3 linked regions of the Oryzias latipes genome follow. The protein of the gene in region 2 interacts with the protein of the main gene of each other region in a pairwise test. Links are inferred from orthologs where the notes say so. Each region holds a gene or a part of one and is shown on either strand. Other genes may lie near its edges.

Region 1 (3,656 bases), on a different chromosome or scaffold from region 2:
CCACAAACCTTCAGGGCTAGTGTTATCAGTTATGTTCAAAATTACAAGACAATATTAAAACAAATTTTGATGTCATTACATAACAAAACATACTTTTCTTTTCTATCCCCTCCTCTCACATTCACACCCTATGGACAATTTATAGTGACCAATTAACCTATGAAGCATGTTTTTGCATGGGGAGAACATGTAAACTCCACACAGAAAGGTCCCCCATTGGTATTCTGTTTCAGGCCCCCCAGCCAGAACTTGAACAGGGGGCCTTCTTGTTAACCACTGCGCCACCGTGCAGCCAATGCATTAAATGTTGTTTATTTGAATAAATAATGAATTTGTTTTTTATAGTTAATAACGTTTTGTGTTTAGATTTTTTGCATGTCAGAAAGATGATCAAAATGATGATAAAAGGTTGGATCCACAGTCAGACTGAATTATGGTTAGAATAATCTTAAAACACAAATTTGTATCTTTTACTGAACAGCAGTGTCTAGTTGCTTTTCAGAGACAAAGTTCTTAATGTATATAACTGCATTTACATGTATGTACACAACAAGTAACTGTTACTGCTAAAGGTTGCAGCCACCGGTGATATGTGTTTTTCAGCATTCTGTCAGGTTCCCAATTCTTTTGAAAAATTATATGCTTAAGTTTTTTCTTTTTGGCTGTTGGCCACCGATTTTCCTATATTTTTCTTCCGTCTAGCATATTTGTTTTGCATTTGTATGGGCTGGGCTTTGATTCAACAGAACACATACACCACACGAAGAGGGAAATACCATTAAAGGCTTATCCGAGCCTCAGATGTTGCAGCCAAAGCCAACAGGATGAACTAGCGGTGACCGTGTGTGTTGTTTGTGCTCAACAGCAGGGATTGCATTGCAAATTAGGGTAGAATTAACTGGTATGTTTCCCTTTGACCCACTACCTCACATTTTCTTCTTGGTTGAAATGGTTAAACGGAATTTGTTTACACGTCAACTCAAACTAATAACATTAGACACATAAAATTCGAAAGCTCTGAGTATTTAATGGGTATCATTTTCTAATTTGGTTAAATGTGATCATTAAAGTAACGTCATCATTTTTCCATCATCAGACTAGCCAGAACCTAACAGTAAACAATACAAGCCCAGCCTTTTGTCATGTATTTTGTAGCTTGTGGATGGCCAATAGTAGGAATTTGTCCTTCTGATGTAATGTCAAAATAAATAAAATTAATTTTTTAGGCAATTGGCATAAGTATCAGGATACAATTTATTATAACAGCTTTTGCAAAGATTCTAACCATCTTAATATTTTAGTTTTATGATTCAATTTTTTTGCTTAGAAAGGAAAAGGTTTAGAAATGCACTGAATTGGTTCAGCAGTTGGCAGTGAGAATGTTAATGCTGATGAGAGAGTTGCCTCCAATTGGCCAGCTCAGTCTCCACATCATCTGTGCAACATGGTGTATCTCTATCTCTCCCTTCTCTATTTTAGTTTTAACTGATGGCATTTCTTGTCCAATCTCTGCAGGGCCGTGTGAGGGGGGGGACCAATAGCCTGTCAGGGAGGGCGGAGCTGGGAGCAGTTGGCCAGCTTCAAGCAGAGATGCTGCATTTGGACCTTATCGACGGAGCTGACAGTTACTGTGTTGATAAGGAGCCTTTAAAGGCATCTGCTCTCCCACTTTCACCTGTCATTAAGGATCCTGCAGCACCTGTTACCATGGATACTTACAGACCCAAGAGACCCACAACCCTTAACCTCTTCCCCATTGTGCCACGGACTCAGGTAGGATTTGACTAACCTCATCCACAGAGACAGTTTCTGGCACTGAATCTAAAGAGAAGAACACCCTTGCTTCTGTTTGTCTTTATAGGTTGATCTTAAAGTCTAAGTGTCAACATTTTATCGTGGTGTTAATCAGGAAAAAAACAATGTCCATTACATCAACACTGAAATTATTCAAATAACTTCTGTGACAGGATGTGTTTATCAGACTGAACAATAGCATGAATTGTCAGTAACACCCCCCACCCCCACTTTGGTTACTGGCCCTGCCTGTGCATGAAATGCTGCTAGTGCTCGTGACTTGTGTTAGGCGTCTTCTATGACAGTGTTTTTGAAGATCAAGCTATAGGAGGAAAAATTACAATCAAGGTTAGAAGCTACATAATGAGCAGCAAATTAAAAGGCACCAGGAGTTTACCTCAGTTTTGATCTGGCCCTTGTTTGGCCAAAGGATTTGTACTGACAGGTTCCTTTTAAGGACCCATACCAATACAAATTGTGTTTATGGGCGTTTTCAGCGTGTTCTTGAAGCATTTTTCTCATAAAACAAAGTTTATGAGTATTTCTTTATTAAAATTGTGGTGAATCAGGGGGCAGCCATAAAAAATACTCTGTGCTCCGCTCCATTCTGATGCTTTCAGTTGAAGACAAATGGATCTTTTCACGTCTTTGTTTTCCTCTTCTGAGCTGGCATCTGGCTCAAAACTGTTCGGCTGGATAGCCTCAACATTCCTCGCTATTATTGTTGCACTGCTAATGTAAGCCTGGGGTTTTGGGGGGCTGTAAGATAGCGGGAGAGAGTGTAAATAAAGGGATGATGGGTAATTACTGATACGAAGCCCATCGAGACGACTGTTGTTGTGAATTCGGGCTATACAAATAAAATTGAATTGAATTGAAATAATTCGCCTCTGGGTTGTGAGTGGTCTCGCTCACACAGTTTTTTTTATTTGGGCTTAAAGTGGCATTCCAATAATTAAAAGACAACTGGGAATGCTCTTAATATAGATCAAAAGATTATCAGAGTAGGACTTTTAAAGCTTACTTATATGAAACATATTTTTAATTATTTACGGAATTGCTGTTTTATTTATTTCAGCAATGTGCTGCAGGGCTGATACTGGTCGATTGGTCAACCTCAACAATCTATTCTTTAATTTGATGCTACTGTAATTCTGATTGTTTACTAATGCAGCGCAGACTCATCCAACTCACACCCAGTCCTGTAATCCTGCTTTGACCGTCTCTTCTGATGCAGCAACAGCAAGATCAATACTGTTTGAATGGTAAATGGTATGCAGATACTTATAAAGTAGCCAATGCCCTTTACAGGCACAGTTTATTCACACTGATGGCAGCTTTGCTGCCTTACATTGGTGCTAACCTAAAACCCCCAGGAGCAATGTGGGGTTCCACCCCCAAGGACATATGGGTGAGCAGGCAGGAACCAAACCTGCAATCTTCCACTCCTTGGTTCCCCTCATGAAGCTCATGGGCCTTCCTGCACTCTATAATTGATCTGTGACCTTTAATCTTGCTTGAACCATTAGCAAAAATCACATACCTTTTGCTCATCATACAATTAATGAACCTACGTTATGTTTCAAGGTGCTTGAGATTGTCTTTGCAGTTCCGTAAATAGTCACAAAACAAACGTGCAACAAGGGCCACATGGCTGCAGAACACATGAAACAATTTTATTTTAAGTGACAGGATTTTTATAAAATGGATCTGCCACCACTGCAGGGTCACATCTGCTAGACAATTAAAAATAGAGAGTGTGTTTAATTAAGGAATTTGACTTCAGCTACTTTGTGATAGTTTTAAGAAAAACATATCCATCTATCCACCTTTCATTCAGGGTTACAAGGGTTGTTGGAGCC
Region 2 (3,656 bases):
TGACTGGGGAAGGAACCCTCGCATTGAAAAGGCCAGCATGGATGGGAAGCTGAGGACTATCATTGTCAGCAGCAAACTTTACTGGCCCAACGGTCTAACCATAGACTATCCAAATAATTTGCTATACTTTGCTGACGCCTACTTGGATTTCATCGACTACTGCGATTATAATGGCAATAATAGGAAACAAGTTTTGGCTAGCGACTTGGTGAGTGTATCCAAGTTGACATTTTATCCACTTTATTTGGTGATACTGTTAATTATCTTATATTTGAATATTCTGTGTAAGATACACTTTTTTTTCCCTTTTGCTACTCTCTGTGAAAAGGTACTGCAACATCCCCACGCAATTACCATTTTTGAGGATTTTGTCTATTGGACCGACAGATACATCAACCGAGTGATGCGAGCTCATAAGTGGCACGGGGAGAACCAGACAGTGATGCTGTTCAACCTCCCTCAGCCTATGGGTCTAGTAGCAGTCCATCCAACCAGGCAGCCTGCAGGTATGGCAAATTCTGCAGGAATAATTCAGTCCAAAACAAGACATTACTTACCTGCCTCTTTCTAAATGTGTGGACATGTGTAATTGATTACTCTGCAGGTGAAAATCACTGCTTGAATAGTCCGTGTACTCATATTTGCTTGCTATCTGCTGTGGGACCAAGATACTACTCATGTGCTTGCCACTCAGGCTGGATACTGGCAGCAGACCAGTTCACCTGTACCAGAGGTATGCATAAGGAGGAAAACACTCATCTCTTAGGCTGATGAAAAGAAAAACACACATATTTTATAAACCAGTGTACTTATCAGGTATTGATTGTCCTAAAAAAAAGACGTCATATAAACACACAATTCTCGGATTCTTCTTTTAAAAAAATGAGAATTGTCTCTTGTCTGCATATTTGTCTGCCAAATGGTCCCAGGCACTTGTCAACAGCCTCCCATTTAAATTGTCTCATAAACTCGACTTCCCTTCATGAATATTAGGAATCATACAAGCGTGTCTTGCTCCCTTAAGAAGACAAGGGACCTTTAATTCAAAGTCCAAGAAGTCTGCCCTAGGTCAGCAGCTTATCTCATCTCAGGTTTCACTCCAGTCAAAGCAACCAGCGCACAACCCCCCCATCCCCTGAAGCTAACGATACTTCAAGAATGAAAATGTTCCACAAGCATTCAATGACTAATCTCTGACGACGAAGCACATCGTGCTGTGGAACCAACATTAATCAGTCAATACATTTTATAGATACAGACATTTTAATGCGTTTGCACCAAATTTTCTGTACTTGATGCGTACTATGTGGCTCTTGTTTATTATTGGCTTTTATTAGAGTTGATCTGGTTTTTGTCATTTGTTTCATATGTGCGTTTTTGTCCAGTTGAGGATCCGTTTTTGGTGGTTGTAAGGGACAGCATCATCTTAGGCATCCCCCTGAATCCAGAGGAGAAGAACAATGATGTTATGATTCCTGTCGCTGGTCTTCAAAATGGTTATGATGTTGACTTTGATGACAGTGAACAGATCATATACTGGGTGGAACATCCAGTAAGTAAAACTTTCAAGTCTTTTTTTTTAACACGTCATTGTAAGTGAGTAAGTTATTGCAGCAAAGCAAATGACTGCTGTGCTTTATTTTTTACTCTCCCAATTCAGATAAAAATTTGTCTCATGGGATTAGGTTTAATTTTCCACTCATTCACTACTGACTACGGCTTATGTGTGTCATTTGTTACCAGGGTGAGATCCACAGGGTGAAGTCTGATGGTACCAACAGGGAGGAGTTTGCTCCAGCAGCCATTCTTGGTTCACCTGTTGGTCTGGCCTTGGACTGGATTACAGAGAACCTCTATTACACTAATCCAGGTGCACAATCTATTGAGGTGAGTTATATGATCAAGTAAATGCAAAATGTTGAAAACAAATGGAGTCTCACATGACAGTTATGCAGGAAAACAACCTTTTTTTGTAGGTTTTAAAGTTAAGAGGTGAGCTACAGTACAGAAAAACGTTGATCACAAATGACGGCTCTCCAACTGGTGCTGGGAGTCCTGTTGGCATTACGGTGGATCCAGCACGTGGGTAAGACTCTCTTTACATTGACTTGGCACAGACAATGCTTACATTGAGGTGTAAGGGAGTACAGTTGTTAGTCTAAAGTGCAGTCTAAAGTGCCATAAAACCTTAGCACCCTGCAGCTAGGTGATATTTTGAGACAACTGTGTTGTTGTATTGGGCTATACTGTAAAAATAAAATTGAATTGAATGCCTTTTTTTAAAAAATTGAAAATTGATAAATACTTTAAAACTAAAACACTGCATCTTGTCCTGTAACTTCTTAAGCAAACTGTACTGGACAGACCAGGGAACGGAGAGTGGCATCCCTGCCAAGGTGGCATCTGCAGACATGGATGGTCAAAACCCAGCCATCTTGTTTACCGACAACCTGGATCACATAGAGTTCCTCACAGTGGACATCCAAGAAAACAAGCTGTACTGGGCCGTGACAAGTACTGGCAAGGTGCACCACAATGCTTTCAATTTCTAAATTCTTGATAGAATATTAGTGCTTTGTTCTTTAATGTCTGTAATTCTAATGTCTCTGAATTGTCACAGATTGAACGAGGGGATCCAGACGGAAGCAACCGCATCACCATAGTGTCAGGCCTGTCTCACCCCTGGGGGGTAACTGTCTATCAAAACTTCCTGTACTTTACGGACCGTGACTTTGAGGTCATAGAGCGAGTGGACAAGTCCACAGGCGCCAACAAGGTTGTGTTAAGAAACAACATGTCAGGACTAAGGGCTCTGAAAGTTCATTTTCGACAAAGTAAGGAACACACAAATGTATTTCTTTCTCAGGGTTTCAAATGTACGCTTTTGTTTCTTGTGTTTTTCATTTTGAGTTGTCTTTTAGCATCTGCAGGTACATCAAATGGTTGCACAAACAACCTGGGAGCGTGTCAGCAGCTCTGTCTGCCACGACCGCAGAGCCTTTTCACCTGCGCATGTGCAACAGGTTTCAAACTCAATGCAGACAACAGAACCTGTGCACCTTACCAGTCCTACGTTGTTATCTCTACTCTGTCTGCTATCAAGGGCTTCAGTTTGGAGGGGTCAGATCACTCTGAGGCCATGGTCCCTGTGGCCGGAAGAGGTCAGCAGCTTCAACATTTTATATGCGCTTGTTTGCGATGCAATTCTTAATTCTTAGAATTTCCACTGGGAAGAACATAGACAAACTGAGTGTTAACATTTATTGTTTTTCAGGGCGTAATGCTTTGCACATTGATGTGCACATGGCCTCCAGTTTCATTTATTGGTGTGACTTCAGCAGTACTGTGGCAATACAGAATGGGGTCAGAAGGATAAAGCCGGATGGCTCTGGATTACGTAGCATGGTAACGTCTGGAATAGGACGCAATGGGATACGAGGAATTGCTGTGGATTGGGCTGCAGGTAAGCTGCTGCGTTTTTGAAGAGTATGTTGTAATGAAGCTGAAAGTAAAATAATATATAATGAAAGTTGAAAATAACAATTTTTTTAGAAGATTATAGTTCTCATTCGCATTAAAGTTTCAAAAGTGAGAAAACCAAAATATAAATATAAATGTGAGATTTTGTTTTTAAAATGAGTCATGTTATTTCAGAC
Region 3 (3,656 bases), on a different chromosome or scaffold from region 2:
AGATTTAATAAAACGTTCCACACAAATGTGCTGTCAAACCTAAAAGAAGGACAGACTGGGCAATTAATAAATGTCATTTACCTAATAAAGAATTACCTGCTTCATCACAGGACATGCACATCATACATATGTGAGCAGAACTGATTAAGCCCAAAACCACACTAAAGCATTATGAATTCCTCAGCCGGGGTTGGAGCATAATCTTTCTATTCGGCAAAGCTCTCCCTGAGCATCAAAGACCCATCTGTGTCTGAATTATCCTGACATGATAACGTCCTCATCGTCCTCATCAGCAGAGTGTTGTGGAAGCAGGAAATGCTTCTTCTGCTGATGATGACGAGCTGACAAAGCGTCACATGCTTTGCAGATGCAGTCAACATCAAAGGCCATGTCAAGAGTCCTGTGCACAAATTTCTCCGACTCGCCTTTCTTCTCCTATTATTTAAACACACACACACTTAAAGGGCAACTAGGTGTGTGTCCTTTCCAGCCAGTGTCAGCAAGATTACTTCCTCTGGGCTATGAAGTAACATAACACGGACAGACATGGTCTATTTGGTGCTTTCATATTTGTGATATGAGCGGTCAAAGCTTTTGCTTGTGCGTGTGTTTTTTAAAGAGGGTTGCAAGAATGTAGGTGTAAATGACACGCATGACATAAGAAAAAACACCAGCTTTCTCTGTCACTCCATCACTGTTGAGGTCTTCCTTCACAGTCCTTCTGCCACTTCTTACATAGAAGGATCAGTTACAGACAGGCTTTGCTAGCTCTCCGTAATGCATTTTCTACATAGATTACAGCAGAGGGCACAAAATATTCTGCCCAGATTTAAACCGAGGGCTTAACTCTTCAGACCCAACCACTGCTGGGGTAAATCCTTATTCTCTGTCAGGTGACAGAGACTGAAGAGGGAGTGTGAACTCCGTCTCTAAGCAACACTCTGAATGGGGAGGGTTTGGCAACACACTGGGGAGGGAGAGATGTCTCTGCATAGCAGCAAACTGTGCTGGGTCACCCACCCTCTGCTGCAGCCATGGCTCCACGCCACCAGCAGAAAACATTTACTCCAATGGTAAAGACAGAGAGGGGGATGTGAAATTAAAATGTAGTAATTCTTTGACAAAAAATATCAGTATGTTCTGAACTCAAATACTTCACAGACTCAGACCATCCTGTGGTCAAAGATGCGTGAACAGAAGCTTGAAAGCAGCAGCTTGTAGTTGAAACCTTTCACTGTTCAGAATAGGTTAATTCATTATGCCTCTTTGTAATAATATTAAACTCACAAAGCTACTTTTTTAGACTTTCCCCTAATGTGTTAAACTTCTAATTCATTTTAGTTACAATTATTAACTCTGTTTATGTTGTTTAACTGATTTCTTAGAGTTTTTAGGTTGGTAAATAAATCTCTATGTATGATCTGTGTAGGGCTCAAAGTGAGTCAAATGTGATGGACTAATGTTCAATAACATCATCAGTACAGCTTATGAAGGAATGTATTAATATTTCAAACTTGGAAAAGACTTCCAACTTGACTGCAAAATGAAAATTTGTTAGCTATTTTTCTTTTAGTGCATCAAAATATAAAACTGCTCTCAATTTTCTGAGCTAAAGCAAACTGTATTTCTGTTTTAGTGCAAATATATTCAGGATGCAACGATTCACCTTTCCCATGATTTGGTTGACACCTCTATTTTTGATTCATGCTTTTGTTTGGGGTCAATAAATGATTTTTGTATCACAAAATATCAACAAAAAAGCAAAATAAATATGAGAAAAATCTATTTTTTAAGTGGCTAATAAGCAAGTAACAATGAAGAAAAAAACTTTCAGTTGGCTCATCCTAAACCTGATGTAGTGTAATAAAACTATAAATCATAAATCTTAAATTTAGCCCAACACACGTGTTTGACACTTTCAACCTTCAACAAGACGCGTGGATGCAACGATGAAGTAACATACGGTTCAGTTTTAAACTGAGGATTGTGGAATTCCCAACATATAAGAGAACATTTTTAGGCATGTGAATCTCTCATTTTAAGTCAGAAAATGTATTGAATATTGTTCTGAGCAGTGGTCTATCTTTATTGATAGTTAAATGAAGTGAAATTGTTACTAAAAATCAGCTATATCTGCTTACATGCTAAGTGCTGTTTTCTCTCGTGTATAAATGAAAGCATGAATGTAATGTAATTCTTCTTTTGACCTAAATTCAAATGTTGTTTTTGATATTAAAGATAGCCATATTATATTATTTATTTTGCTGATTGAATGAAACAAAAAAGTTAATGTGAACGAAGATCTTACAAAACAGTTTATGGAAACTATTTAGATTGTCTCACTGTGTGTAATTAGGCTGCGATAATGTCATTTTTAAAACTGTTGATTCAAGCTCTGCTTTGAAAATGTTTGATATCAAACTGATTTCAAACCAATATGGAGTGTCTCCATATCTGTGACACAAAAACAAGCACAATGTGTCTAAAATATCAACAAATGGGATAAAAAAACAAAACAGATTTACCTTTTCATATGGATCCGAGTCATAGTTGAGTCCAATCCCACAATCATCTGTGATTTCAGAGAGATCTTCATCATCAAACTCCTCCAGGCTGATGTCATGAGCTGGCCTGGAAGAAGGAAATAGTGATTACTGCTTTGAAAGCCAACACTGATGTTTGCAAAATGTCTTTATATTTATTGGTTATTGTCACGGAAAGAAATTCCCATTTGATTTATTCCCACACACTCAGCTCTGTGACGGGGAAACCTGCTCTTACTCACACACTGTCAGGCTCTGTCTGAGTCTCATTTTATTAAACTCAAGCAGCCAAACAATATTTTCTTCCTTCATTCAGAAGTTCTGAAAAATTGTGGTGCATGAAATGAGGTAATATGTAAAGCATGAAAACAACGTGTTCGGTTGACTGGATCTTACACCATACTCTATGTATGTTGAAAAATAAATGACTTGAAAGTTTTCAGCAGCTCTTCACATCAGACAGCCACACACATGTCAGGTTGTGTTGATTAGGATCTATTCCATCTTTGCTTTGATATTCATCAGGATCCCAAGTCTGCAGCAGCTGGCTCTGGAACTGCTGTAGGAAATGCTGCATTGCAGCTTTCCCAAAAGTTCAGAATAGGATGCTCCACATTTAAGGTGTGGATTTTTCCTTGCATCACTAAGTCATACAGGCGTTCCTGTTTAAAGAGCAAATGAAGACATGCTGACTCATGTGGGGGTCAATGAAGGTCACAAACGAGATCATCAATGAGGTGGATGATCTTTCTAATGTGAACTGACAGAGACTGAAAAAAAAGATCTACTTCAGATTATAGTTACCAATGGAATCGATAAAACACATAATGAAGATTTTTGAAGAAAACAAAGAAATTCGAGTTAATATGACACATTATACATTTCTTATGAAAATGCATCTGCAAGGATATAATTTTTGTATGGAATTAATGAATAAAAGACATTTGTATAAGTTTTTTTGTAAACCAATAGAAATTAGGGGTCTAATGATTAATCAAATTAATCGATCGATCGATTTATTTTCCTGCAGTCCAACCTGATTGACATCATCACAATATTATAATTGATTATCTTGCAAGAAATACAAAGAATTTGGAAAACTTCACCTGCAGG

What was found.
Region 1: the proteins of lrp2 (region 2) and mapk8ip1 interact in a two-hybrid assay, tested with the Homo sapiens proteins (2 studies listed by BioGRID). The link is inferred for Oryzias latipes from reciprocal best matches to the Homo sapiens genes LRP2 and MAPK8IP1.
Region 3: the proteins of lrp2 (region 2) and mapk8ip2 interact in a two-hybrid assay, tested with the Homo sapiens proteins (2 studies listed by BioGRID). The link is inferred for Oryzias latipes from reciprocal best matches to the Homo sapiens genes LRP2 and MAPK8IP2.

Annotation. Positions count from the first base shown.
Region 1 is NC_019861.2:7,572,362-7,576,017, reverse strand, and holds part of mapk8ip1 (C-Jun-amino-terminal kinase-interacting protein 1), read left to right. Parts: intron 1-1,515; coding exon 1,516-1,773; intron 1,774-3,656. UniProt on the Homo sapiens protein: The JNK-interacting protein (JIP) group of scaffold proteins selectively mediates JNK signaling by aggregating specific components of the MAPK cascade to form a functional JNK signaling module. Required for JNK activation in response to excitotoxic stress.
Region 2 is NC_019879.2:21,650,442-21,654,097, reverse strand, and holds part of lrp2 (low-density lipoprotein receptor-related protein 2), read left to right. Parts: coding exon 1-208; intron 209-328; coding exon 329-506; intron 507-604; coding exon 605-733; intron 734-1,385; coding exon 1,386-1,552; intron 1,553-1,743; coding exon 1,744-1,887; intron 1,888-1,976; coding exon 1,977-2,086; intron 2,087-2,347; coding exon 2,348-2,525; intron 2,526-2,620; coding exon 2,621-2,834; intron 2,835-2,921; coding exon 2,922-3,161; intron 3,162-3,274; coding exon 3,275-3,463; intron 3,464-3,656. UniProt on the Homo sapiens protein: Multiligand endocytic receptor. Acts together with CUBN to mediate endocytosis of high-density lipoproteins. Mediates receptor-mediated uptake of polybasic drugs such as aprotinin, aminoglycosides and polymyxin B.
Region 3 is NC_019864.2:20,573,406-20,577,061, forward strand, and holds part of mapk8ip2 (C-Jun-amino-terminal kinase-interacting protein 2), read right to left. Parts: intron 2,632-3,656; coding exon 2,526-2,631; intron 1-2,525. UniProt on the Homo sapiens protein: The JNK-interacting protein (JIP) group of scaffold proteins selectively mediates JNK signaling by aggregating specific components of the MAPK cascade to form a functional JNK signaling module.